Rhinolophus ferrumequinum: one gene and its partners. The main gene of each other region encodes a partner of the protein of the gene in region 4 in a complex. Links are inferred from orthologs where the notes say so. Each region holds a gene or a part of one and is shown on either strand. Other genes may lie near its edges. The genes, in order: GEMIN2, GEMIN5, STRAP and GEMIN4.

The links.
Region 1: GEMIN4 (region 4) and GEMIN2 share a complex: the UniProt entries of both Homo sapiens proteins name them as parts of the SMN-Sm complex. The link is inferred for Rhinolophus ferrumequinum from reciprocal best matches to the Homo sapiens genes GEMIN4 and GEMIN2.
Region 2: GEMIN4 (region 4) and GEMIN5 share a complex: the UniProt entries of both Homo sapiens proteins name them as parts of the SMN-Sm complex. The link is inferred for Rhinolophus ferrumequinum from reciprocal best matches to the Homo sapiens genes GEMIN4 and GEMIN5.
Region 3: GEMIN4 (region 4) and STRAP share a complex: the UniProt entries of both Homo sapiens proteins name them as parts of the SMN-Sm complex. The link is inferred for Rhinolophus ferrumequinum from reciprocal best matches to the Homo sapiens genes GEMIN4 and STRAP.

Annotation. Positions count from the first base shown.
Region 1 is NC_046289.1:86,467,712-86,475,175, forward strand, and holds the start of GEMIN2 (gem-associated protein 2), read left to right. Parts: upstream 1-4,445; 5' UTR 4,446-4,537; coding exon 4,538-4,674; intron 4,675-5,073; coding exon 5,074-5,179; intron 5,180-6,576; coding exon 6,577-6,666; intron 6,667-6,947; coding exon 6,948-7,007; intron 7,008-7,464. UniProt on the Homo sapiens protein: The SMN complex catalyzes the assembly of small nuclear ribonucleoproteins (snRNPs), the building blocks of the spliceosome, and thereby plays an important role in the splicing of cellular pre-mRNAs.
Region 2 is NC_046307.1:25,753,421-25,760,694, forward strand, and holds the start of GEMIN5 (gem-associated protein 5), read right to left. Parts: upstream 3,012-7,274; 5' UTR 2,921-3,011; coding exon 2,755-2,920; intron 2,006-2,754; coding exon 1,845-2,005; intron 1,338-1,844; coding exon 1,156-1,337; intron 1-1,155. Other genes in the region: MRPL22 (39S ribosomal protein L22, mitochondrial), read left to right, coding at 4,361-4,424, 4,506-4,548. UniProt on the Homo sapiens protein: The SMN complex catalyzes the assembly of small nuclear ribonucleoproteins (snRNPs), the building blocks of the spliceosome, and thereby plays an important role in the splicing of cellular pre-mRNAs.
Region 3 is NC_046293.1:29,905,121-29,912,159, forward strand, and holds the start of STRAP (serine-threonine kinase receptor-associated protein), read left to right. Parts: upstream 1-4,024; 5' UTR 4,025-4,349; coding exon 4,350-4,461; intron 4,462-5,200; coding exon 5,201-5,336; intron 5,337-7,039. UniProt on the Homo sapiens protein: The SMN complex catalyzes the assembly of small nuclear ribonucleoproteins (snRNPs), the building blocks of the spliceosome, and thereby plays an important role in the splicing of cellular pre-mRNAs.
Region 4 is NC_046304.1:16,944,377-16,951,864, reverse strand, and holds the start of GEMIN4 (gem-associated protein 4), read left to right. Parts: upstream 1-4,477; 5' UTR 4,478-4,662; coding exon 4,663-4,672; intron 4,673-7,488. Other genes in the region: diazepam-binding inhibitor-like 5, read right to left, coding at 3,443-3,706. UniProt on the Homo sapiens protein: The SMN complex catalyzes the assembly of small nuclear ribonucleoproteins (snRNPs), the building blocks of the spliceosome, and thereby plays an important role in the splicing of cellular pre-mRNAs.

The DNA of each region.
Region 1 (7,464 bases), on a different chromosome or scaffold from region 4:
TGAAAGCGCTAACTCTCCCTGTTCTGTTACCCCCATGGAATGGCGCACTGGTTGAGGGTCAGGTGGATGGGCACAAATGTGGAAGTCTGGAGATCTCTCACTCTTGAAGAAGCCCCAAACAAAAAGCTCCTGCAGATTTATGGAATGGGGATGGAGAGGTATTAGGAATAGAAAAGTCTGGATACTGAGTCTGGAAAGTTTCCAGGTAAGGAGACCTCCAAATAGAGACACCTGGGCCAGGAATGCAGCTATGCATAAGAGCATGGCGGGTTAGTGGGGCCTGAGCCCTTGACTGCAATTCCCTTCAGAGACCGCCATGCACTGGCTGGATGCACCAAGTCTGGTGTGGGGAGGGCAGTTTTCCCCTGTGAAGCCTGCCAGGTAAAGCCTTTGTAATTGCATAAAGTCAGGCCTGAAAAATCACACATAAGTTTTTAACCAGGAGCTTACTGCTCAGAATTATCCCCATTTCCTGACAGCAAAGCTCCACTGTCCCCAAATCACCAAACAAAGCCCAAATCCTATAATAAATATGTTAGTTCTAACACCCTCTTACTGAGACATCTTCCAGTTTCAGTAATCATGTGACTAAGGAGTGTTCTGGTGGAAAGAGGATGCTCCATAAGTATTAACTATATACATACAGCTCCATTTCTCAGAACCCTGTCCAGCACCATCCATCCCCTACTTTCTATGCATCAACCATACTGACCTTTTTCCAATTTTTCCAACAGAACCTACTTCCTCCAGCAATTAAGGCCTTGAACAAACTCTCCTCTACCTGCTGAGACTGAATATACAAATGGGCAATGGTCAGACCATAAGTGGAAAACTAGAACTCCGACCCACAGTCTGCAGCAACCATCCCAGGAAATCAAACCAGTGTTCTACAGTAACTAGCCTGGGAAACCAGCCTGCAATAAGTCAAACTTACAGGAAGTCAGAGTGGTATCTCCAGCAACAATCCAAGAAGCCAAACAATAACCCCTGTAATAATTGTCCCAAAATAGTCAGGATTTGATTAATAATTGACAGATTTCCTAATTTTTTTCCCTGTTTCCAATTTAGGACCAACCAAAGAAAACCAAATACACACCCTTAACCAATTTCATAGGGTGTCCCACTTCTAAGTAGAATAGGGGTTCAGAGCATGCCACCCCAAAATATGCCACTTTGACATATTATTTTAAGTTAAAGGTACTTGGAAAACAGCAGATGCAAGATGGGTGCTTGGACCTTCCTTTTTCTTCCTGAAAGCAGGAGATAATACTCCCATGTGAAAGGTACACCTCCCTATACCAGAAGGAAGGAAAACATTCTTACCATTAGAAATGGAGATTCAAGGCCAAGATAAAGCTATACAAACAAATCTTATTCAACTAACCCTTATCTTCTTAGTTACTTTTCCAGAATTATAATAACTTCCCTAGCACAACCCCCTTTGTCATGTTACATGTTCACAATTTACTATTCTTTGTCCAACCTAGTATGTAAGCTTTGGGCCCTAACTTCTTTGGGCCTGGATTTTTCTTGTGAAGGCTCCCATGTACATGTTAAAATTACTGAATAGAATTTGTGTGCTTTTCTAATGTTAATCTGTCTTATATCAGTTTAATTCTTATGCCCCGCCAGAAGCCCTAAGAGGATAGAGGAAAAGTATTTTTACCTCCCCTATAGTAGCCCACCTCCAACTTCCCCAAGCCAAGAGCCTCCAACCAGCGCATACACAGTCTTCCCCTTTTTCCAGTATAAAGCTTTCCTACTCCTCTTCCTGACTTTGAGTCTTTGCCAAAATTCAAGTAGCAGTGGCTGACTCCCTTTCTATAGCAAGCTCTGAATAAATAGCCTTTGCTTGTTCTTATTCCTTAGTCTTCATTTATTTCCCTACCACAAGACTCCTCCATACCCCATCCCCTCAAGATTTTCCTTAATAGTTCTTATCACAGTTAACATTTAAAATTCATTTGTATCATTGTTTAACATCTCTCTGTCCACTAGACTGTAAGCACTAGGAGAGAAGAAGATCATTGTAATTCCCAATGCCTACCATAGTGCCTGGCACATAAGAGAAAACTGATAAATATTAATTGGATGACTGAATTAAATTTTCATGGTATAAAAAGGCAAGTGAAATTTTAGACTGTGGCCAAAGTAAAAAGAACTGAGAAAGTACGCTTAGAAGAAATTCTAGTGCGGTAGATATTGAATAGGAAGGGAAAGAATAAAATGGATGGCCTAAGCTGTGTCTCTCACTTGGAATGCTTCTTAAAATGTCAATTTCAGAGCCCCACATCCAATCAACAGAATCAGACCTCTCTGGAGGAGAGAGTTATAGAACCCAGGAGTCTGTATTGTAAATAATTTCTTCCAGATAATTCTTATATACACTAAAATTTGAGAATAACTGGGTTGCTTAAGGGGATATAAAACACAGCGACAAATTTGCACTTACCTGTGTAAGGATGACTTAACAGATGCCACCATCATCAATAAACAGTGTTGATTGTTCTCATAACCCTCATATAACTCCTACAACCAACCACCAATGTAAGAAATACTGAAATACAAAAAAATCTTTCCGTTGTAAACTGAGAAGTAACTGGAAATCTTTGAAAACGGCACCAGAAATAGTTCAGAATCTTAGGAATGGTTCTTCTTAGGGAGAGCTTAGATGAAATAGTTATTATTTTAAAAGTTCAGCTTTCCAAAAATTAAGCATTTTTTTCAGAATAACTTCATCAACCAAATATAGCTACTCCTCCGCTGTCCCATATCTTACTGAAACTATCAAAAATATTTAATTCAATTTCCAACTTATAACCATATTAAAATTTGTTCCAAAACTCGTTATTCATTCTTTTAAGTCAGATTAGTTTTGAAGTAACAAAAAGCAAAGCTTATAAATTTTTAATTTACTTTCCTCTCTCCTGAATGAATTCATGCCTGTGTATTTAAAATTTTAGAATCATTTCAGAATCATTCATTTATTACTTACGTCTTTTGTAAAATAGTGTATTATTATTTCCCAGAACAACCTTTGTTCATTCTGCTATTCCTCTCTTTTCTTCCTTCATCCATGTGTAGTTCTGTCACGTACTTACCAGTCGTATATATGCAGCCCAGTGTTAAGCATTGTTCCACTGGTCGTTGGTCTACTTGGTAATTACCTGTTCTTTATTTCCAGAAAAATGGGTGAGGGGAAGTGAATTGCTAATAAGTTAGCTTCCCCAAAAAAAAATATTTATAAGAAAACCCAGAAATAAAGTCGCTGCTCATTTTTTCTTATTTTGTTCTTGATTATTACCAAAAAGTTTGGGGATGGGAGTATTTCTCCATAATCCTTCCCTCTAAGTCTGTTTCTTCCAAAATCAGTAACATTTTTAACCAAATAACTTCTACTTTGACTGCTGTGAGGCAATGTCTTTCCATGTCTCCCAATTGCTTAGTAACCATTCATACACACTAAGTCTTTCGTTTTTAACATAAGGACTAGCCTCACTATTTATCTTCAATTAAGTAAGTTACATTCTGGTTTCTAAATCAATTGCTAAAGGCAGTGCTTTAAAAAGAAAAAAAAAGCAACGCCTTAGTCATAAATATAAACGTTAGAAATAAGTCAATTGTATTCACTCAGAGCTTGTTTAGAAAGATTGAGATAGAATATTTTCATTATTTCTTGCAATTTATGACCCAGTTAAAGTTAAACTAGTTCTGCTTTAAACAAAGCAGAACGTGTAAAATGGAGACAATAGTGTAAAATGGAGACAATAGTATTCGCCTCACAAGATTGGCCCTAAGATTAATAATGGTGATTTCTGGGTATTGGCATTAGCTTTATCCTTTGCACTACTTATATTTCAGCAAAGAGATCTTTCTGAGGGGGTAAAAAAAGCGATGGCTACTCTAGGAGTGATATTCATTTCAGACAAATATAAAGTGATCTTTGAAATAGCCAAGCACAAGAAATTCCTCTGGAAAATCGGTTTTTCGTTTACTCGGCGTCAGAAAAATCTGGGTTGGAACTGGCTCTTCCCCTTTGGGAAAAAGTCACGGTTGTAGTACTTAACCACTCTTTCGGTCGATTTTTCTCCCTTACGAAACCGGTATGATACCTACTTCAAGAGGTTGTAAAACTTAAGTGAGGAAATGTGACCTGTCTGCCAGGGTTTAAGAATTGAGAGATCAATAAAAGATAATTACAGTAATGTTGCTCATTAATTAAAAAAAAAATTTAAGAATCCCTCGCTACTAGGGATACCTAAAGGCTAGTAAGCCCCAGTCTTTACCCTACCTAGCCTTGGAAGAGAGAACAGGACAAAAGAGGGAACACGCAGAAACATCTCAGAACCACTCCCGCAAGGAACTAAATTCGCAGTCTTCCTTACACCACCGGAGCCTTAACCTTGAGACAATGAGCAGGTTTGCTCATGCGCATTAACACTCCCTAAGCCTCGCCGCTTGCTCCACTCTGCGCCAAAGATGCCTACTTGTGCGCCTGCGCTGTGACCTAAACGTGGGACTGGCTGGATTGGAAACTATGGCGTGGGTACCAGCGGAGTCTGCAGTGGAAGAGTTGATGCCCCGGCTGTTGCCAGTGGATCCCTGCGACTTGACAGAAAGTTTCGATCCCTCCGTACCCCCGAGGACGCCTCAGGAATACTTGAAGCGGGTCCAGTGAGTGATTTGGCTTGTGCGGGTGGGCTGTTCGTCCTTCCTGCTCCAGAGCACAGCGCCCGGTGCTTTGCGGGACCCCTAGGTTTGCTAAAGCCCCGCCTCTGTTCCGGTCCCCAACCTCCTGCAAGTTCGGATCGGAGCAAGATCACTTGTTAGCATTTTTAGGTGGACGAGTTTCAGTGAACTTAATTATATTAAACTTGATTATACATGGCAAGATGTGTGCTCTTAGATTTCCTTGCTTTCAATATAATTTCAGAAATACATTAATTAGTACCTCAATTGCAATTCTGAACTTTTTGTCTGATATCATAATAAACTTTAGAAATGGATAGCTTGTTTAACTGCAGATGAGCAAAACTCAATAGTAATTACATTTCTTGCATTTATTATTTATAGGATCGAAGCAGCTCAATGTCCAGATGTCGTGGTTGCGCAAATTGACCCAAAGAAGTTGAAAAGGAAGCAAAGTGTGAATATTTCCGTGAGTTTTATTACCCGTCAGGTGACTTTTTTACCACTACAAATGAAAAAAACAAAGCTGTTCCTATAGTATCCAACAGTATCAATTACGATGTAGGTCAAATTTGACTGCCCCTACGAAGTTAGACATTTGTTTGTATTACTTTTTCCCCTTCAAGGACAGTTGACATTTACTGCCGCCAAAGAGGCTTTAAGTAACCCTGGCATTCATGGAGATTTGCTCTTCATACTTTCAGGACATGATCCAATCCTAAAGAAGTCTTTAAATAGGTTACTTATGCTGTCCTTTATTTTGAAGTAACCTTTTTCCAGTTGTCTTCATAATTATTGTTGGACTGTTTAATCTTAGTGCAGTTTGCATGGTCTAATTTTCATTATGTTTTGTTTTTTAAGACTTAGAAACCCAAATATCTTACACTTTTTTTAGCTACTTGCACACTGTAAACATTTTCATTCATTTATCCAGCACATTTTTTACTAAGCAAGTAGGTTGTGCCAGGCACTAGAAATATAACCAGGGATGATGAAACAGAAAAGGTCCCTACCCTTGTGGAGTTTACATTCTCCTGAGGAAGACAGGGTAAACCAGCAAACAAGTGAAATAATTACATATTGTGACTATTGATATGAAGAAAATTAACATATAATGATCAATAAATAACAAGAAGAATTACTTTTCTTTTTTTTCAGGTAGAACTACTTTAGATTGTCACAGAAGGTCTCTCCCAGGAGGCAGTATTTAATTTAAAGTCAAAGGAAAGCAGCAGTTTTAAATTGTGATTATTCCTTTTCGTTTTATGTTCTAAGTAATTCCCTTATCAGATGTTTATAATTAGGAAATTTTAATATTTCATATAATTCCTTTTTAGAAGTTTTTAGTTGGTGGGAGATGATGTCTTATATACCTGGCTTTAAAAAGTGACCTCACAAAGTTTTATTTCAAGGCAGTGTGTGATCAGTTGTGAACTGTATGCTGTTTTTGGAAAAAGAAGTAGACATTTTAAAGTCAGATATCTTAAATTATTTGAGTACATTCTGACTATACCAAAATTTTTTATCTGGGATATAGCTCTTTTTTTTTATAGCAAACTGTTTTTGCTGTTATAGAAAGGTAGGGCTAGATTGTGTCTTCAAGACTCATATCATTTAGATTTCTTAGAAACTGCAACTGTAAACCATTCCAGATTGCTGTTATTAAAGTGACTCTATAAGGATCTTTTCCTAACATTTTAAACTCACACAGAAATAGTAAAATGAAATTCCTGCTCTTTTGCATGAGCAAGAAGTACTTTATTTTTCTTGTACAGTCTTAATCATTTACTTTCTTGTTCACTGTTCATATTGATTTTACTTGGCAGGGGCATGAGACTCTAGTTATAACACTAACATTGATGGTAAAAATTATGAACTGATCTCTAGCTTTCAGGATGCCAACCTGCTCCTGAAGGATATTCCCCCACACTTCAGTGGCAACAGCAGCAAGTGGCACAGTTTTCAGTTGTTCGACAGGTAAGTGTACCTTAATCTTTTAATCAAATTAAACACTACCCCTCCCTCCCTCAGATTTATTTCTGTTCTTAGATTTTAGTTGGGAAAATGAGGTTCATGATTCTGAAGAATAAAGAAAAGAATATTTAAGAATCAATTACCAAATTATTATTATAATGACTAGATGTAATAGTTTGAAACATATCTTCCCAGTTGTAGAATTGTTAGAATGTTGTGCAGCACTTTATTTCTTTTCAGTTATCCATTCTCTGAAGATCACTGTCTACCTCTTCTTCCTTTAGAGTGTGAACAGACATAGAAATCACTGGAAATCACAGCAGTTGGATAGTAACGTGACCATGGTATGTAAGTTTCTCTGTTGAAGTTATACAGTGTATACCTATTTGAAATTGTCCATATTTACTTCCAGTCTTTAAAAATTACTTACCTAGTCCATATAATTTTCATTCCCTCCCATCTACCATTAATAGTAACAATTTCATTATATTAGTAGCCTGAAAAGTATAGAATCAGCAATGCAAGCTTTTATTTTTATGACACTTTTAATCCACAACATCTTCAGAGACTTTGGATGGGTAATTGTTAGGCCCCTACAAGTTTTTAAGTTTCTTCTAGACAGTTGTTTTTTAGGAAATAAACACATTTTCAGTATTTACAAAAAGATTGAATAAAGGCTCATTGGATTTTCCTGGTGAAAGAATGGTGCCAATACCAGTGACTTTTTACTGAAGCCTGTCATGCATACCGGAAAGTAGTATTTCCTACATTTTATCAGCTTAGATATAATATTAAGCTCTC
Region 2 (7,274 bases), on a different chromosome or scaffold from region 4:
ACAGAACTCCAAACCTGATTGAATCCAACCATTTCCTTTCTCAACCGGCTTGAATAGTTTCAAGTCATGACCACGATCCTTAGCGTGGCGCTCAACAGGGACCACTGGGCCTAGCATTTCCCTCTGTAAGTTCACTGTCCTGTTCTCTGAGATGACTGTTTTCATACCTTATTCCTGCATTCAGTCCCATTCCCACCCTGAACTTGACTCCACCTCTCTGACTTCATGCCTCAGAGAAAATCGGAAGCCATCAGAATGAAGCACCCTCCTCTTCCAACTAGAACTACACACATACCTGTACCCATTCCCATAGTCTCAGCTGTTCTACTTGTGATCTGGGTCCAGTCCCTTCTTGACTTCTCAACATTGCTCCTATATTTATCACGATTTGTCCCTGCATCAAGATCTCCCCTTTCTGTCTCATTTCCATCAGTATAAAAACATGCCCTTGTTATCTTCTGTTTACTACTCCCTTGACCCCCATTACTCCCTCTGGCTTCATGTCAATGCATATCTTTACAACCGTGTGAAAGCGTGGTCTCCATGTGTATCTTTACTACCGTACCCCCCAGTCTCTTGAATCCACTCCAGTCAGACCTTCTCTTCTAACACTCTAGTGTTTAACCAGTTTTCAAACGAGACGAAATGGACATCTTTGGGAGAGAAGTAAATGGAGTGGTGAGAGAAAGCGGGAGGCCCACTCAGGCAGCTCGTGTGAAATCACCTTGGTGACCAATGAGGAGTCAAATCCCAATGCCAGATCACTTTCCCAATCTAGAGGGAGAGCCGAGAAACAGAGGGACAGAGCTGAGTCATTTGACTCTCTGGTAGTAAATGTTATATCCAAAGGCAAGTACAGAGGGAGAAAAAGTTAAAAGAGGATAATTCCTACATTTGGAGGTTGACTGGAGAAATCAAATGTGAAGAACGAGAAAACTACAGTATTGTGGAAATCAAGGAAACAAAAACTGAGACTGGGAGAGGTGGTAAGGACTTGGAGGTCACAGGAATAAATGATACCAAGGGCTCAGGGGGAGTGGTTAACACCTGTAAATGGTTTCCTTTGAGGAATAAAGGGACAGGGGAAGGTAAAGCAAATGCAAAATACAATCAGAAGCAAAAATAAGTTATCAATACAGATGGTATAGTACTCACCCAATAGCTACTAAATCTTCATGATGAGGTGAGCAAGTAAGACAGAAAATTGTTCTGGGTTCTATAAAGAGGTACTGGCTGTCATTTCTGTTAAACCAGTGACAGAAAACGACTCCTTTTTCATCTCCAGATATTATTAAGTCCTTTACTCGAGGAGACCAATGCAATGCTGATATTGTATGCTTCAAAACAAAACCAACATAGAGTCATTTAAAATAATTTCTTTCTTTAATAGCTTAATGCAAAGTTCTTACTAAGATTAAGTGACTCTTTTCCCACATTCTCTCAAAAGGCAGGTATACAAAGTAATCATCTGGTTTAGAAAGAACTTTCTGGTTCACTCATTTATAGTTTATATCAGGAGTCTTTTTCGTATTTTAGACCTGTGGGCCACAATGTCTCTGTTAAAACTCAACTCAACTCAACTCTGTGGATATAGTCAATACTTAAAGTGTGAACAATATTTAAATGGATGACTGTGGCTGTATTATAGTAAAACAGTTTCCAAAAAAACAGGCAGCAGTGCAATTAGTTCGCTGATCTCCTTCCTAAAAAGTTTCTTACAATGTAGAGCTTCTTATCTAATGAACACAATTACAAAAGTTATCTTGCACAGGTGAGCTAGCAAAACTATACTTGAAGCAAAAGAACCCTCAGCACAGCTATGTAATAACAGTAAGCCATGGTACCTGATGGAGTGCATGTTCTGTCACCACTGATTTTGTCTCGACATCCCAGATTTTCACAGTCCCATCATCGGAGCTGCTGGCACAGAGGTTGTGTTGACCCGGGTGAGGAGAAAACGTGAAGCCAGAGACCCTTTCGGTGTGTCCCACCAACTCCCCTATGACTTCAAGCAAAATCAGACTTCAGATTAAAGTGCTACCTTCCATTTCCGGCAGAACCACACTGTTAGATGATGTGTGGGATCTCACTTGTCCCCTGGTGTAACACAAACATCCAGAAACCTCAAATACTGGTGCTGGCTCTGCCACATGACTTCACCTGAGTCATTTTATCCCATCGAGTCTGTTTTCTCAACTGTAAAATGTTGTTGATACCCCTTGATGTGCCTAGTTCACAGGCTGAGGAGCAGCTCAAATGAAGAATGTGATTCTTAGATCTGGCCAAGGTGGTTTGGAATAGAATAACTATCTGGCCTGCCATATCCCAAGGAATAATCAAAATCTAGTTTCTAATCTGAAAGAAACAAGTATCAAATATTTGCAGGATCTTGCTTAGGGCTTGGCGCTGTAAGCAGCTCCTAACCCCAGGGAGGCTCCTAGGGGGTCTGCCCGCACTGGGTGGGAGAGGAAGGCTACAAATGTTACAAGTGCCTGGGTCTAGAGCTGGATAACTTTTCAGTAAGCGAGCAGGCCCACGTGAGAGCGCCGGGAGGTGGGACCGCTCATGCACAGCGTGGTGTAGCTCAATACTGGGAGATCAGGACAGGACTCAGCTCGGGGATTGTGAGCAAACCTTTCTCCCTGCTGGGGCCTCACTTTCCCCATCTGTGCGGAGGTATGGCTGAAGACACCCATCGGCGCCTCAGGGGAACACCAGAAGTGCAGGAAAAGCGGGAAACGGGTAATGAGTTACCTCGAAAGGAGGGCGTCCCAGGGATCGCGCCTGCGCCCGGGCCCACGCGGACAAGGAAGACCGAGGTCCGCGCCGCGAACCCGAAAAGGCCCCCGGGCACAGCATCGCTGCATCGGGCGCAGTACCAGTTAGGGGAGGGTGGCAGCGTGCGCGGCTCCTGTCCCATGATCACGGGCCACCAGGGATGATGAGGGAAAGAGCCGCTAGGACAGACCGTTCACCGCCCCACGCTGTAACTGGGAAGGGGGCGGGGTCAGCGTGGAGCCCCGCCTCCCCGGGCCTGCTGCTACGGCGCGCGCAGAGGCCCAGGCCGCACCACGCGCTCCTCTCCCGCCGCCGCGGAGCTTGGAAGGGCGGGGCCGCGTTCTGGGCGATTTGCCTCCCAACCTCGCCCTCGGCGGGATGCTTTGATGCTGCCTGAGCCTAGCCTTGGGCTTAGGCATTCTCGCCTCCTACAGCCAAGGTACATAATTAAGGGGTTAGACTGGTGGAATCACCTTCTCTCACCGCGGGTTTTTTCTTTGGACCTATTCAATTACTGTCTCATCAGTAGTTGAACACTGTGTGCTCGGGCACTTTGCTAGTTCTGAAGATGCTTTAAAGATTCCTACAAGAAGCCAATGAACAAAAATGTAAAAGTTCGAATCAGAAATCAACAAGGAAAGAGTTTGTGCAACTGGGAAATGCAGGCTCTGGGTTCTTTTGCAGAATAGAGTGACTCTTGATTTGACCAGATGCCTACTTAAGTTGCTGTGGAGGCAAAAGAATGGCAGTGTCCTTCCAAATCAAACATGCCCAAATGCTCAGACTTCTGCGCTTACGCTGTCTTACGCCTGTATTGCTTGTTTGCATTGGTTATCTGGCACTCCCACATATGTAGCAAACGAAACCTGAGAGATCTAATAAATAATAGAAAGGTCAGACATATATTTGGATGTGGGTAGGGCCACTAATTTTGGAGCCTTCCAATCTAGATTGACTACTACGTGGTTTTGCCAGTTGTTATCTAAGAGACTTTAATCTATTCTAAATCTGTTTTTTTATTTGAAGAGGATGATAATCCATGACTTGTTGGGCTGCTGTGAGGAATATTTGAGATTTAGTGAAATGCTTGCTGGACATATATGGTAGCAAGTGCCCGATGATTAATTTTTATCTCTTGTAGGTCAACCTGGAAATTAATAGGGATTAAGACATCATACTTTGTATTTGAACTGCTTTTTTTTTTTAAAAGAGCTTTTCACATGATCTCTAGTAATCTTACAACAAAACTGTGCTGTAGGGATAATTATTTCTGACTATTTTGCTGGCTAGTAAACCTGAGGCCCACCCAGGTTAGGTGGCTCATTCACGGTCTGTTTTCCTAATCCTTTCAGACCATTTGTGTGGTGAGGTTTCGCATTTTTTCTGGATCCCGGTGAATTTCCGGAAACTCACTAGTTTTCGGCCTTCGTTAAATCATTCATTCCCAAGCAAGGTTAGGCTGATCACACTTTAAGCGCCGGCAGCGTGTTTGTAGTCTCCATGACAACACCGCGGGTACTGCTGGGTTTTCAGCTGGGGAGGAAATGCGGGGAATTGCGCATGCGTCTTGTCCGGACGGTGCATGAACTCGGAGGCTTCCGTAGAGGGTGGGAGGAAGATGGCGGCAGGAATATTGGAACGTTTGGGTAAGAGTTTCTTAATGATTAAAGGGCGGTAGAAGGGAGTGGAAGTGGGACTCTGCGTTGACGGCTTGTGTTATATTGCAGGTACGTTATGGATGCAGAATCTGAGGGGGAAGCTGGCCGTGGGGTAAGTCTCCTCGGAGTAGCAGAAGGGCCCAAGGCCTCCTTACCAGTCTGTCAATCGCTAAGAGCCTATGTGCCAGGCTCTGCTTTAGGCTCTGGGGCCATGGAGGTGCCAGCTAGTCTTTGCTTTGTCACCCTATCGTTCTGCCGCCGTATTGCATAGCCCTCAAGGGATCGGGATGACCTGTTACCCAAGGGATATTGTAAATGTCTTTTCTGAACAGTCTCTTCTGATCTTTCTGAACGTGGTTAGATTCTCCCAGCCATGTTGGAACATCCAACTTTTCTAGTTATCTCTCTCGTTATTTGTTTACTCGAGCCGGGACTATTATAGACAGCCGCGGCTTACCTCGGGCCTTGTATGACATGCTTTATATGCGTTATATCATTCTCATAACATCCTATGCAGTATATATACTGCTATACCCATCTTTCAGACAAGGAAATTGGAGCTCCAAAAAGTAAAATAACTTGCCTAAGGTCCCCCAGTTATAGGAAGTTTTGAAGCTTTATACTACCCTCAGAGCGTCCTTTGACCGCAGGACAAAACTGTTCTTTAAGGTTCAGGAATGCAGTTGAGTCAGGACTCAAAAGAAGCCTTTCCCTTTCTCCTTTTCATTGTCCCTCTTTTGCAGTACAGTGATCGATATTTGGAGATTGATAATTTGATTGTAAATTTGCTGATCAGTGCATTTGTTAGCCTTTATTTGGTTTATATACGCTTTAGAGACAGCTAAGTCATGTGTGAATCTACTTTTTAACTGTGTGATTTGGGGGAAAGTTACTTATCTCTAAGTTTCAGTTCTCATATGCTATGGAAGTATTATTACCTACGTGAGATTTTTTTAAATGAGGATTGAATAATAGGAAGTATGTAATACAGTGTATGGCATATAATAATCCCACCCTAAATTTTAGCTGCTCTTGCTGTTTTTTATTGTTATAAATTATTATTGAGTTCCCATTACTTTTAGCTCTGTCCTGGGTTCTTGGGTCAGGGGGAGGATGAGGCGGGCTAAAGAAGAAAATAGTGGGCGCTGGCCCTTAGAATTTGTCTACACTTTGCTTTCTTAGATTATCTTCTATCACTCCATCCCAGCCATGCTGCTTTACTTACTTTTTCTGAATATGTTGTGCGTTTACTTGACACTTGGCTTTTTCATGCTCGACCCTCACTTGCTGTCTATCACAGCACTCCTGATTATTTAAAATCCTGTTCAGATGTTTCCCCTTCAGGAGGTTTTCTCAGCTCTCACTAAAAATGAAATAAATTTCTCCTTTTTTCGCATGTTTGCCTTGAATAGTCGCTTCACGTATACGTGTCTGTGAGCTTTTACTAGCTTATGTCCCCTGGACAGGTAGGGTCAGTTCTTGGTTTTTTTTTGAGCTCCAACATAGAGTCTTGCGCAAAGTGAGTATTTTGTTACTGTTTGTTGATTTAAATTGCCCTGCACTGATTTATACTGGGAAGCTCTGAGCAAGTAACTTAAGCAATTTGGCTTCAGTCTTTTTATCCTTATCATACAAGACGGTTTGATTTTTCTAGATAATTTCTAAGGCTCTTTCTAGTTCTGAAGTTACATAATTATAAGAATCCCTATTCTGGATTTTCTAATGGGAAATGATCACATAAAAACTAAGTAGAAAAGGTATAAATAATGCTCATGATAACTGTGTAAAATCTTAGAGATCATCTAATTCAGAGATTGGAAACTTTAATGGCTGCCAGACACATAATAGAAATAAATGAATTAGGAGAAGCGGTCCATGTAAAATGAGAGAGTGGTCGGGCCTACGGCAGTCCGTAGAGTGCATTCCTCATATGAAGGCTTTTAGTTGGATTAAGGAAACAATGCTGCTGACCAAATAAAACTTTTCTGTAGGCTATATTTGGTAGCAGGCTGGCAGTTTTCCAACTGTTGAATTCCAACTCTCCCATTTTACTGATGGATGCATTTGAGAAGTTTTGTGACTTACTAAAGGTTACAGAGTTAATACATGGCAAACCTAGGAATAAACAAAAAATTCTCTGGCTTTCACTAGTGTTCTCCCACACCATGTGAGAGAGAGAGTGATGGGCTCAGAAGAGATTTTCTGGGGAGTTTTTTTGGGAAGAGGTGACTTAAGTTTTGAATGAAGAATACATTTTGGTGGTTTAGAAATAGAAGGGCTAGTGTAAAACTTTGAAGACACTAGTGACTGAGATGTACATAGGTTAAAACTCCCCACAAGAAAAAGTTGAAAATGTCGTGCATTAGCAGTTTGGTGGAAAAATGACTACTGCAGTGTGATGTATTTGAATAAACAGTGGGCTACAGAAGATAGAGCTGGTCTCTACCAGGGACAAATATTGTCCCTTAACATTTTACTTAACTTCTCTGAGGCTCAGTTTCCTCATCTCAAAAAAATGAGAATAATATTTACGTTAGAGGGTGGTTGTGAGAATTGAGAGAATCAATAGTAAAATGTCTGTTGTAGTGCCTGGTACTGTGTAGGTAGATGTAGGGACAGGGATGATAACGTCATGACGTTCTTTCCAAGGAATCAGATATTATGCTGGAACCAATCAGTAACCACTCAATACTCTTAAATGAGATTGCATATTTCATCTGTCAGCCCTACTTCTATAGAACACTTAGCCAGAAGATAAGAAACTGAAACATAAATCAGCCTCCTTTTCTATTTAGTTAAGTCACTTGTAAGAGACTTTTCCAAAGTAAAGGGTAGAAA
Region 3 (7,039 bases), on a different chromosome or scaffold from region 4:
ATGGAGAGAGGGAGGGAAAGCCCTCAGCATTTAGGCCTTCAGATGGCCGCCACTTATTTCGAACTCTATTTCCTCAAACTCTAACGTTCCTCCTACAGACCTTGCTTAACCCTTCACCATCTAGGGGTCCCCACCTATTTTCTCAGGGAAATTCAACTTCTCCCAAGATAAGAAAGGAACCACATCATTGTGTATGGTAAATCACACAAGCTTTGTCCAGATGGTGATGGAGTTTTCCTTGGCCTGGGTTTTGCCAGAGAAACACAGGAATTTTTCAGTGACACCATGGGCTCTGGTTTTATGAGATAAAGATGGTGAGTGATATGATTCCAGATTGATCTCTCCATCACTGAGTGCTGCTGCCATTCTTCGCCTGATTAACGTAAGAACAAGGGCAACTCTCTTCCATGGGTATTAATTTTCTTCCCAACACAACATGACCTAGCATTATATGAGGAAGGTATAATCTTCATACTGATGTGACTTTGACTCTATTCTTTTGGGAAAAAAATAACACCTGAATTCCTGGATATGAATCTTTTGATTTTTTCCCCCGAGCATATCCATATTACTAGAACTATCACTTTAGTTTAGAATCACTCTTTATGAATCATTTAGGGAAAATGGTACCAGCTCTAATGGATTCTTTTCTGACAATGTAATATTTCCTCTCAGGCAAGTGTGGATGATGGGGTAGGGGGATCGCATTTTATCCCATCAAATTATCTGTATCTCTATCTCTACCTCTATCCACAAAACCATGACAGCTGATCTTTCTAGGGTAGAAGCAGAACCAAAAGTATTCATATTCAGTCTCCTGTCTTTGACTTGACATGTAATTTGAGATTTCTCACCCCACAAGAGGCTGATTTCATTTCAAAATCATAAACTAATACTCATTCTTCTAGCTAAAGTTCTAAATATATAGCCAAAACACTTTGTAATAACAGAGGAGAATCAAAAAGAATACACTGACACTGTTCTTATACAAGTAACAGACCAAATTAATGCAACTGTCACCATCTACTGATGAGTGACGTGGGATCTTTCCTTTAAAAAAGTATTGTTTTTAAACAAAATAAACATAAATGTAAATGACAAATAATTACTGAAAAAAGGTGAAATGTGTAAAAATTTCCTGACACTCTCTAAAAATATGAAAAGATGAACTCTATAACAAGAGACCAAAATAATATTAATAATAATAATAATAATAATAATAATAATGTGAAAACAAATGGAGATACAAAGACAGAGTTAAGGGAAAAAAACTGAATAAAAAAAATAAAAGCATGAATGTGTGAAAAAGAATATAAATGGAGCCACTACAAAACAGAGTTGGAGCCACCATCCCAGAGGAATTGCTTGCATGTCTTACTCCTCAAACCTTCGGAATGTTCGAAATGGGCAAAATAACCTTTGGACTGAGCCAAAGCAACACTGTATTCCAAATAAGTGTTTGCAAAACTAAAAGGAAAGTATACATCCTGATTACCACACTGAAAATTAAAAACATTTTTTAGAATTAGCACCACCATGTGTAGTTAAAGAATAACTTAGTATATGTGTACCTATACAAATTTCTTCCTGGACTTAACACCCATAGAAAATCTGTCCTTCTATTCATGTAATTACTGCCCCTCCTTTTGTCATAAATACCCTTGCTTTCCTTTTCTAATTGTAACACTGTTGCGATATCTGCCTGAATCACTGCTTCCCAGAATTGCAATTTTTTAATCTCAAATAAATGCTTCCTGCCTCTGTAACTTTTTAGGTTAATAAATATGAAAAGAACATTTGAAACAGTGAAAAATAATTGACTCACAACAGTTAAAAAAAAAAAAGTGGGAAAAACACCGAGTGCAGTAGGAAAGATGTAACTCAAAGGGAAGAAAGTAAATCAAAATAGGTAACTGTCTGAGACTTTGACACACTCAAATTATTTTCCTGGTCTTCCTGACATGGATGCCCAGCTAGATTATATTTTCCAAACCCTCTTGTGGCTATGTGTGGTCACTAGTCCCATATCTCACCAATGTAATGTGTTATTGAGTTAGGCAAGACATTTGCTTGGACAAGACTTTTTCAGATTTGCATTGTAGTCTGAGTCTCTTTCTATGCGATTCTCTTTTATTTCTCACCCTTTCACAAGTATCAGGCCAGCATTATGGCCTGAAGGCTCTCCCTGCCTACTTCACTCCCTTTTCCTTTCAGCACTCACTTGTACCCGACCTAATAGGAAATACTTTGTGTTTCATTATTAGGTGTGATGTTTCTTAGGATCTTCTATTAGGTCCCTCCTATTTCTAATATCTAGAAGTTTATCATGAATGGAGGTTGAATTCGATCTAAAACTTTTTACATATTAATATTTTTCTTTTAGTCTTCTAATGTGGTAACTATGTTAGTTGCATTAATCTGTCTTCTAATAGTAACTGACCTTTGAAGCCAGTTAATCATTATACATACTTTTAGAACTCAGAATCCAAATGAACAGGAACTATACATTCTTTAGAGCAAAGTAGTTATCAGTTATATGTTTACCTGCATACAATGAGCAATATATGGGCAATATTAATAGTTTACCAAATAGTTGTTTTAATTTGCGTTGTGTTTTTTATTTACCTCCATCAGTAACGCAGTTATTTACACAATCAGTAAACGAGCATTTGTTAAGGACACACTATCCATGAATAAATGCCATTCACTCTTCTGGTACTAGAGCACAAACATGACAAAGCCATAACCATTGCCATTAAAGAGCTCATAATTCAGGTGTGTGAATGGAGTATGTGTATGGGTGTGTTGTGTCTAAAATATCATGTAGAAACACATACAGTAAGTGTGGCACAATAAATGAACAAAATTGTGGAATTTAATTAAGGAATTAAATTCGGGAAGCACTTCAAGTCCCTATTCAAGTCATTGGACTTGAATCGTGAATGATACATGTTCAGCACAAAAAAGATGATGGTGGAGAAGGAAAGATTCACAGACGTTGGTACTAGTTGAATATTTATTGGTATGTGCCAGGACATTAAGGCCTTGGGGATAAAGCAGGGATAATTCACAAAAATCTCTATTTCCGGTTTAAATTATATCATCAATGGAAAGAAACACCATTCCCAAAGAAAGCAACTTTCCTGCTTAGGAAAGCTTTTGTATGAGCAATCAATCAACAGTTCTGGTTGATACACGGAGCAGCAATACTGAATCGGGCTGCCTGCAGGAAGACAGTACCAGAGTTCATTTATATTCAGTTTTTCCAGTCTTCTAATATTACTCTTTTGTTCGTTATAATGTATATGTAATTTACAGTTATCTGTATATCGGGAATGCAGGCTCAACTTTTATTAATGCGAATATTTCCTCAAAAAGGTTTGGGGACCACTGCTCTAGGGTACTCCGAATTCCTCAAAGGAAAAGTAATTGGAATTTAACTGTATTTAAAGCGACATAACACTCATGTCTAAGACACTAGCAATACAGGAATGTCACATAACAGAACGAGTGGCTGGGGAAATTACTTTTTTAAGGGCCTTACTTGTAGACAATCCCAGAGGAAGCTGCTTATACAGTTGTTACAAAAATTGAAAAAAAAGTTCTTAGACTTTGTTTGCAGGTTTGGCCGGCCGCCGTAAGGGGAGAAACTCGGGTTTTACTGTCCTTCTGTCCAGGTACCGACCACAGTCCCACTGGTGGTGTTGCTTGGTGCGTAACCCACGGGAGCCGGCTGGTCCACGGTCTCGGCGAAGCAGGGACACCTTTCGTACCCGGTGAACTCGACACGGCGATAACAAGGCCGTTTACGCCTGGTCAGAGCTCAGCGTGTGGGACTTTGCGAAAGCGCCTAGACTAGACCATCTCCAGGCGCCGTACGAAGCCGGCGCGGGGCGAGCATCACGTGCCCTACGTGCGCTGATCTCGCGCCTGCGCGCTGCTGTCCTACTGGCTCATTAGGGCTCTTCTACCCGGCAAACTCGCCTTCCCTCTGTATCATCACTTCCGGCGGACGCTGAGCGTCATTGGAATCGTCACTTCCTGCCGGTAGCGGTGTGGACGGTGCGGGCCGTGGCCGGGCTTCTCCGAGTCTCCCCTTCCCCTGTTTTCCTTCCTCCCTCCCTCTCCCTCTTTCTGCGGCTGTGGGTGGCCCGTCGCAGACTCCCTGACCCATCCCTAACCTTTTCCTAATTTCGGTGTCACTGGATTGGCCTCCTTTTTCTGTTTTCCGGTCCAGCCCCAGTGTCAGGGCGGGGGCCTTGAGGAGCCAGAGACGCTGCAACTGAGGAGAGAAAAGAAGGAGACGAGACCCCCGGCTCCCCAGCCCGCCAGCTTGGTTCGCCGCCGCCATGGCAATGAGGCAGACCCCGCTCACCTGCTCCGGCCACACGCGGCCTGTGGTTGATTTGGCTTTCAGTGGTATCACGCCTTATGGCTACTTCTTAATCAGCGCTTGTAAAGGTGAGCAGGGCTGCTGATCCTGGTTTCCAGACGTCTGGGACTGGGCCGAAACGGAATGGAGCCGGAACTCCACAGTGCCGGAGGGGTTGTGGGCATCTCAACCTTTGAGATGACGGTCAAAGAGTAGTGTTAGGGGTTCCGTAGCGGCAGCCAGAGGAAGCTTTTCTGACACCTCCGACAAGGCTAGGTATTGCCTCCAACTAAGGCTGCTCATTTTACTTTTATTGCTATTTCTGGAGAAGCAGAACTGTAAACTTGCCTAGACACCTTGGCCGCCAAACTGTAAATATCTTTCAAGGGTTTCGGCAATGGGGAAACGAGACCAGATGAAGGAATACTTTACCAAGACTTGTCCCTCATATTATGTCATTGGATATTCCGTTGTGGTATTAGCCCCATTTTTCAAATGGAGACTGAGATTTAAGTTAACAAGTTTGTCCAAAATAAGACTCGATTCTAGATTGTTCTGTTGCAATTCAGTATTCTAACCAAATTACAGATGCATCCCAGAGAGAATCTCTGGCTCAGTTCTTCAGTTAATTTATGAAGTTAGTTTAGTTGTACGCGTATGTAGTTACCTGTAATTTATTTCTGAACATTCCTTAGTGACCCCAGTGAAAATAGTTTAGACAACAAAAGCAATTTTTCCACTTGGTTATTCATCATGATTTTATGTTTGAATCATAGATTTTAAGTAATTTGAACTTATAAATCACAAGTCTTTTTAAATATTTTTTAGACGGTAAGCCTATGCTACGCCAGGGAGATACAGGAGACTGGATTGGAACATTTGTGGGTCATAAGGGTGCTGTTTGGGGTGCAACATTGAATAAGGATGCCACCAAAGCAGCTACAGCAGCTGCAGATTTCACAGCGTAAGTATAGCCAAAATGGCCAGCTTTGGGGATCTCTGTGGGTTGTGTTCTGAAATAATCAAACTTCAGCCTGTTATAAAATTCTAATTCAATGCATATGAATGTTTGTTCTCACCAAAATTGCACCGTGGTCCTGTCTGCTGCTTTCTCTTCAGTGGTTCTTAACAATTTTCAGAGACTTAAGTGATTTATTTAGCTTGTCTGGACCTGGGAATCTGCATTATTAACGAGCACTGCAGATAGTAAATGTTGGGGGTCATGTTTAGAAATATTGCTCCACCTGTGCTTCCTGAGTGATACCTATAAACTCCTATGACTTTCTCTTGCTAACGGCCCCAGACTTTTTAGCCTGATCTCACTCTCAGTTTTTGTTAACTGGCTTTAGACATATTTAAAACTTCCATCAATTGCTCTTCATTTTCTAAGTTTAAGTTCTTGATATTTCCCTTATATCCAGATTATCTTCGTATTTGTTGATTATACCATCTTAATGCCTCCTGACTACAATGTTTCTTACGCCTCTGCCACTGCCTTAGTTCAGGTCCCTGTCACTAGTCTCTGGTCTATTCATTTTCCATAGTGCTTCCAGTTGTCTTTCTAAAAACAAATTTCATTATGTCACTTCTTTATCTAGTGATCTTCCTGTCTTCCCTCTGCTATTTCAATGGTTCATGACCTTGGGTGTACATTAGAATAACCTGGGGATCTTTTAAAATACTCAGATGCATATGTCTCAGAATTTTTTATTTAATTAGTCTGGGGATGGAGTGCCCAGTATCAGTTTGGTTTCTTCCCCCGTAAAGTTGTCACAGGTGATTTTGATGTGCAGCTTTAGAACCACTGGCCTAAGGATTAAATTTCAGTTGTTGGCACTTTAAGATTCGGCCGCATCCTAGTTCATTAGCATCATCTGGTACTGCATACTATATGCCCTACAACCTAGCTATATTACCTATTTTGATTTTTGGTTTTTGCATATATGTTATTACAGTGACTTGCAATGACCCATTTTTCCCTTCTGGGCGTGTATCATTTTGTATAATCTTTGCATTTCCAGTTTCTAAGTGTATTTGTGACTTAGCAGATACTTAAATGTTTAAACTAATGAAGGCAATATCAAGATCTATTGTACTCGTTCGTATAAAATAGACTTTGTAAGACTTAAGAGTCAGGAGAGTAAAAGTGGTTTTGTTGGTTTTTTGTCTTTAAGACAGAATTTCACACTGAGGAGCAATTGTAAATGTTTTGCTCCTTTGTTTTGAACAAATTAACGTACCAAGTTTATTATGAAAAACAAAGGCAGAGTGATGGTGGTGGATACATGACTGCATTTGTTGAAACTCAAAGACTTCTATACTGCAGTGAATTTTACTGTATGCAAATTTTAAAAATGAAAATTTAAAATGAGAGGGAGATGTAGTGCTTACATGGGATTAAATTAGACATGGTAAGAGATCAGTAAGAAAAGTTGTGTTAGTCTAAACTTTTTTGTGTGTCATCGATGAGTAGATTGCTATTATGTCTTTAGGCATCACCACTATGAGGCTTGTGCTGAGCCCTGTTGCGATTGTACGTAATATTGATAAAATAGGGAAATGCTTGGTTTTATATAAGTTCATTTTATGTCAACAGACAGCTTTAGGTCATATGTTGCTTTAGATGTCAGCGTGCCTATAAGGTGACAGAGACTCCTTTGATTGTTC
Region 4 (7,488 bases):
TCCAGCATCTGATGATACTGTGCTGTGCTAACATCTCACTCTAGCACGCCTTGACATTTAAACATTTTTGAAGAAATTATGTCCTCAAACCAAAAGATTTAGTTAACACCCACACACTCCTTACTTTAAAAGTTTACGTAGCCAGAGAAAACAGACGGAAGAATCTAATAATATGTTGTGCTACCTGCCTAGCTCTATGCTGTTTTCTTATATAATTTTTTTTTAAACCTCACAAGAAGAGAACATGTTGAATTTGGAATAAATGATATCTTCAGCCTGAAAAAAGGTTTTTTTTTAATGTCTTCCTATAGTTTGCTGTTTTGTTCTATAGAACAAATTTTGTAATCACTGGAAACAGAATTATATTGGACATATTTATTATTAAATGTGTTTTGAAGATGTACTTCTAAAATCAAGCTGTTAACACCAACCTGTAAGATTCCTTATTTGAAGTGGTGGCCAGGTTCAAATTTTAGGAAGGAAACTGAGGAGCTTGGAAAGGACTGACTCAGAGGATACCAGTTCCAGAGTAATGCGAGTGTATAAAAATGACTTGTAAATCATAGTCTCTCCTCTTCTCCTTTGCTGGCAGGTGGGATATGGAAATTTCAGGGTTTTTGGCTCACCTTCTTACAGGTGATCTTACCTTCTCTGGGAGAAAAAAATCCTTTTCCAGCTTCAAGGCACTTTTCATTCGACTTAAATTTTCTGTCTTAGGGAAGCTATCATGAGTTTCAAAGCAAACCAAATTATGTGTCCTCCAGACATTTGGTTCCCGTTTTTTTCCTGTATGTAGGGAAATTATTGTACGAATTTTGAATGACCAAATAAACCTCTGTGTCTCTTTGGACTATGATTTGTTAATTCTCAGATTTTCTATTAGAGTATTAAGTAAATCTTGATGTTGATCTCTAGTAATACTGTTCTCGTGAAAAGAAACTACTTTTCCCCGTGTTTTAGGATGCTGTGATGTGGCCTTCTAAGTTTGTTACAGTAAAATAAGTGGTTTATGTAAGTACTGAATGACTAAACACATACTAGATTCCTCTTTGTCTGCTTATCTTGTATTTTAACATACATACCCCCGATTTTTTCTCTTAAATGTACAGCTAGCATGATAGAAGTTGGTGCAATTTACCTACCTGGGATATTTGGGCTTTATGATACCGGCCCTCTTTTATTTATCTCATCACCTGTCATTTTTCCTTTGTTGCAATCTTTAATATTTTACTCATCCTAAAACCCTTTCACATACAACTTTGGCCTTTTAAAGGAATCCAGAGTTTACCTCTGCACAGTACAGCTAGTAATTTTAAACCAAAAGTTATGATTACTTTCTCACCTCTGGAAATGGTGTGATCAACTAGAAAACAAAGTTATAAGAGAAATGCTTTTGTCCACGCTGATGTTTTTAAACAGATGACGCTGGAAATTTTTTCATTTTCTCCAGAGTTATTTTTTCAGAGTAATCATTGTTTTTTACTTGAAGGGTCGTGGAGTCCTAGTGTATTAAGTTTAATAAGTTCAAATATCCCTTGAGTTTACATCCAGAGTTTTAGAATGGCTGTGTTGCCAGAGTTCTCCTTGGTTAACCTGGAGAGTTAGTTAGTATGAAATCCATCACTGCCGGATATCTTGGTGGAATTAGCAAAGACATGGACCTTGAGTGCTCCTTTATGTGACTTTCTGCCCCATCCTACCTATCACACGATGCCATTGCGGTTTAGCAGAGTTTTCAGGAGGGCTCAAACTTGTCCACTGAAATGTATGGTAGGAGTTCATGGGAAGTTCCAATGTGGTCTAAGATTTTATTACCGTTACTGGGAAATACATAGGAAATGTATGCAGGCCTAAATGATCAATAAAGAAGTGCGCTTGCCTCAGACCTGTTTGTGAGGTAATGGAGTCAATGGTTCAAAAATCAAAACAATAAACAATGAAAAGTCAATCCCACTATTTATTAAGCATCAAAATACATACTTCTCCCTTTCCCCCACAAAATTCAGCGCGCTGTGTATGCTATACCTTGCTATAAAAAAAAAGTATCCTACAATTGTGCTACATTTTTACTTTATCAGGTTTTACAGTGACTTACAGAATGGTATGGCTATATCTGCAGCTCCTAAATTGACACCATAGTTTAGAGCAAAATATTCCATTATTTTTACTATTCACACTTAATGTGAATCATGGTTTTAAAAGCATTAAAATGTGTTCATAATATTCTCTAACATTTGTACTGTGTGGTTCTTGCCCAGTTTACTGTTATAAGGAATCGTTCTTTAGTCGCTGTGGTGTCCTGGGTATAGACTTCATTCGTAGGTAATATACTCAGTCTATAGCAAATATGTGAACAGAATATCTTGATACCTGGTGAGATTTGGTTTCCTTTGACTTTCCTCTGAAGTATGTATAATTGTTGCTTATGTTGTTTAATGGTTCGTCATGAACTGAAGCCAACCTGAGGTCATGATCTATGAAAATAATTTTTAATTGAAGTATTGGAAAATTCTACACCGTAGCGGATCTTTTGCTCTGAAATGTCTCTAATAATATCATTTACGACTCCATAGCGCAGTGCATCATTTTGCATTGATGCCTCCATTATAATCACTAAGAAGCAGAAGCTGAGCTCGGGCAGTTTGGCCCTTGCATGGATCAAGAGGTGGGTTGTGCCCCTAAAACAAATCTCATGTACATACATGTCCATATTGTCCCACAAACATCCCCAAGTAGAAACCATGATTAGCTACGAATAGTCCCAAGAAAATTTTGGTTGCTAGGCCTTAGATGAATCTTTCAGAGGCTGGAATTTTGAAACCATCTGTTCCAGTGTCTCTCAACTGCTGTGTTGTATCAGTTACTTCACTAAAAGTCTGACTTCCCTCAAGACATTAACTTCATCAGGCTTGTATTCCAGTAGGGGCTTTTAGTAGTAGGACCTGACTTGAGCTTTTTGGAAGACAATGCCCTTTTCTCCTTTATAATATTGGGTTAGTAGTGAAGGGACAGCCCCTGAACAGATAGGGGCCTCAGCCTCCTCTCCTTCCTCCCATCTTGCCAGAAGCTGAGCCTCTCTCACTGACCTCAAACCTTGGACATTTTCATAGGGTGATTCTTCCTTTCCCCGCACCCCCATTCCTGCCAAATATCTCCATATAATCTGGGAATAGGAAGGCTGGGAACTCTTTACTTAGAATCATACCAAAAGCCTGTTTTGATGGAATTTTCCCTAGAGGAGAGATGCTTTTTATACTTTTTGGACAGCTCCCGAGGACTCTTACTCTTGAGTTTATTGCTTTACCAACAGCACTCACTCTCATGCAGTTTAAGTGATTTATTGATGTCTCAGCGGGACATTTCAACCCTCAAGTTCTCTTAAGAAGCCCTTTTCCCCACCAGAGGAGCCATGCTACTTCATTCTGTTCTGCACTTGGTCCCCTTAACCAGCGTCGTTTTTCTTCAGTTCTTCCACTTTAGCAATATAGATCCTCATGGCGTCCATCTTTGACATCCCTTGGTTCTTGTTCCATGCATCCCACTTGGCCTTGGCTATCACATCTGTGGCAGGCGGGGCAGGGATATTGCAGTCGCCCTGGGTGGCCTGTTTGTAGAAGCTGTACACCAACAGTTTCTCCTGATCACTCACAGGTCCCTTCAACTGCTTGATAGCGGCGCAGGCCATCTCAAACTCCGCTTGGCACATTGAGGGATCTGAGGCTGGGCCCCTCGGTCTTTTCTAGGTGATATCTGGTGCTAAAAGCTGGAGAGTTACAAACACTTCAGGCTGAAGAATTAAGTCTGGGAAGAAGGGAAAGGGAGGAGGTAGGGTAATGTGGGAAGAACCCAGGATATTTGTGTGTTCTCAGTGAGAAATCAAATGTGCGTTTTTATAAAGTACGTACACATTGCAGACTGGGGCCTTTTGGGTTGGATGGATCTCCCCCACAGTTGTGGCTCGCACAGTGCCTTTTCTGGGGAGGACAATCCATTAACATTTCAAAAGAGTCTATGATGCCAGAAAATTAAGGAGCTGCTGCTGTCATCTGAAAGAGGAGCTCTGGGGGCGACTGTGAGGCTGTTGGGCTAGGCGGTTTGTGGGTGTGAGTCCGGGAGAGGAAGCCTGTCAGAGAGTGGCGCGTCGGTGCTGGTTAGTGGGCAGCCCGGGGAGGGTCATTCCGTGTGGGTGAACTCTGTGCGGGGGAATCGAGAATGCGAGGCCGGGGACGGAGCTAATGGGTGGGACCCAGTGAGATCAGGAAGCAGGACTGGGCAGGGGACTAGACAGATGGGGGGCTCAGCGGAGACTGAAAATGGAAGGGGCCGGGCCGGGGGAGAGGTAGAAGCGCCGCCCACCGAGGGAGGGCGGAGTGGGTACCGGCCGGCTGGCGGGTTGGAGGTCTAGGGCCGGTAGGGGGCGCTGTGGGCTTGGCCGCCTCGACGCTGAGGGCTCGTTGGTGAGGAGTGCGCGTGCGCGCGGAGCCGAGCGCGGTCTACCGCGGATCGCGCTGAACTGAAGCTGAGCAGGGACTGGGGGCCGGGACTAAGGCCCAGCCTATTGACCCCCCGCCCCCCGGCACCGTCCATTGTGCCGTGGCGCCTGCGCAGCACTCGCCACCTTGAGGGGGAGGGGCGGCCCGCGCCGCCGCCAGCGACGCCGCCATGGATTTAGGTGGGTGTCCCAGCTCCCCTTCCCCTGGCCGGGCTGTGCTGCGTCCCGCAACGGGCAGGAGGGCGGTTCTGAGCGGGCCCGGGCTAAGGGAGGCCCTCGGGGGTCGGGGAGGGGGTGTGGAGGTCGGGGGTGTCCTCGGAGACTGGGGGCCATGAGGCCGGGCTTTAGCGCGGGCCCCACCACTCCTTGGCTGGTCTCTTGCCCCCTCAGGCCACTTTCCAAGTGAAGGGCCAAGCGGAGGTGAAGTTTGATTTCCTGAAAGTGGAGAGGGTTCGTACACGTGCTTTGGAAAATGCCGGGCTGGGAGGACGCCCAGGGGAATCGCGGATGCCCAGACAGTCTCTTTTATTGAACGTCTAGTAAGTTCCAGAGCAAGTGTTTTACGCTCATGAGTTCCTCATCGATAAAACGGGGACGATAATGTATCCACCTCAGAGTTTTAGGGAGTTTTCCTTGAGACCACGTGTGTACAGCGTCCGTTATAGCCCCATGCGCGTACCTGGCGTTCATTAGACTAGCAGTTGTGGGCAGGGGTTGCAGCAGCAGAGAGGGCACGGGCACCGTGATTCAGAATCCTCGGAGGCAAAGTTTGGGAGAAGGGAGGGAGGAGCTGGCATAAATCAGTGGCTCCTTGCCCAGCCTCTCACGCTTCTGGACATGCTCCTAAGGGGTTGAGACCAGGAGCCTGCTCGGGGAGAGCTGGGTGAGGCACCCCAAGCTGTGCCAGAGGACTAGGCTGTGAAGACAAGTTGTGGTCTCTGACCCCAGCCAGCTCTGACGTGGTGGAATGGTAGGGTTGTGAGAGTTTGGCGCCCTACAGCTGTAGTGACTTATTTCTGTCCTGGTGGAACTGCTCTGTAGTTGCAACATCCTGAGCAAATTGTTTCTGAGTCTCAATGTTCCCATCTCTAAAACAGGAATACTACAGTCCTCAAAAGGTTGATTTGAAGATTAGAAGAGATCTTACATGCGTACCACCTAGTGCTATGCCTGGCACAGAGTAAACACTTGATAAATATAAAGGAGTGGGCACTCACAAGCACCAGTTAATCAGTAGTGATAAAATACTTGGTAATTATCCAGCTATTAACTGCTCCTGGGACTTACTCCTTTAAGTAGCACGGGTGCGTCCTTACTGCCTCTGGAAGGTAGATGTTATGGGCCAAACATCTCTGGTGAGCTGATAGTGCAATAAAATTCAATTTACAGAGTCATAGGGAACATATTTTGGCTCTCTGGAGAGCTGCCTGAGCCAGAACGAAATTCTAGAACCTCCAGAGAGACCCCTTAGCCACCTGACCCTCCCTGGGAGTGGGCCTCTGCCACTGGGAGCCAAGATGAATTGCCTTCAGCACTGGGCTGCATAGAATTGCTGATCCTGTGGCCTTTTGCTGCTCCCATAAATGATCGAAGGAGCAGGATATTCTTTAGTCTGCTGGAATCAGGAGTGTATTGGCTCCCTGCCTGGGATGATGGGTTCTTGGGGGCCTGAGGGACTGAGGAAGGGATGGCATCTCTGGTCCCTGGGAAAGGGGAGAGCAGTCAGGATTATTGAACAGTGAGCAGTGTTTGTACTCTGATTTAGTTTCTGGGACAAAGGAAACACCTGAGAAAGAGCTATGTTTTTTTCCTGTTTCTGAGCTGGGGAGGCAAGAAGTAATGACAAGATTCTGGTCTTGCGGACAATGTAAAGGTTTGGGGAAACAAAACATTTACGGAGCACTTCATCAGGCTCTTTGTAGCCTGATTATTGGAGCTCTCTCTTATTTAACCTTCAGCATCTCTGGGAGATGGGATCAGGAGCTAACAGTGAGCGCCATCCCACTACCAAAGGCTTGACTAGTGTACATCATTTGGTTCTCACAGTCATCATATGAAGTCTGTATTATCCCCACATGTGCAGAAGGCGGGGGGCCTCAGAGAAGTCATCTGTCCCAGATCACACACAGCTTTTAAATGGCTGAGCTAGGATTTAAACCATGTCTGATTAAATTCCCAAGATGCCTTCCTTGATAAGTCCATGTCAGTTCATGGCTCACTGAAGGGAGGCCTTTCTTAATGTAAGTGCAGTAGCTTTTGTATCTGTCCCTTGGTTTCTACCAGAGAACCAGGGCCATGAGTAGCCTATGCTCCTTGATTGAAGGAGCTTTGGGGGTGAATCATTTCCTGAAAGGCAGAACGACCGAAACCTGTTTGCAGGACAAGGCTATGAGAGAAAGCAGGCTGTAAAACAAAAAAAAAAAAGGAGAGAAAGCAGGGAAGGTAGGGCTTGTCTGATTGGCTCTGTTCCCACAGCCCTCCGGCTATGCGCCTTTTAGTTTGTATCATCACTTAGAAACTTGGTTGTCAGGTCCTGCAATACATACCTGCAATACATACTTGGCGGCCCCTGTAGTTTGACACTATCCTTGTGCTATCTCTCTAAACCCTTTCTCCCCGAATCCTGTGCTGGCCCATCCTTTGCTGGAAGGTCTAGCCTCAGAAGTCCAGCTTTTCCTGTTCAAATGCTTTTCCTGCAGGATCCATTCACTTCCTTGGTTCCAGTGATCCCCTCTGGGTCACACTTCAAGGCTGATCTTCCTCCTGAGTTTCAAACCTGCATTTCCATTGCTGGAGGACAGCTCTATCTTAATGTTCTACCTCAAACTCCAAATAACCAAAACTGAACTGTGTTCCCTCTAAACCTGTCCTCATTCTCCTGTGTTCCAAATTTCCAATGGTACCTATTGTCTTCTCAGTTCCAAGCTAGAGAGCTTGGGAGTCCTTTATTCCTCAGGTAAGTCCTTTTGACTCCAGCTCTTCAGCGGCTCTTGGAC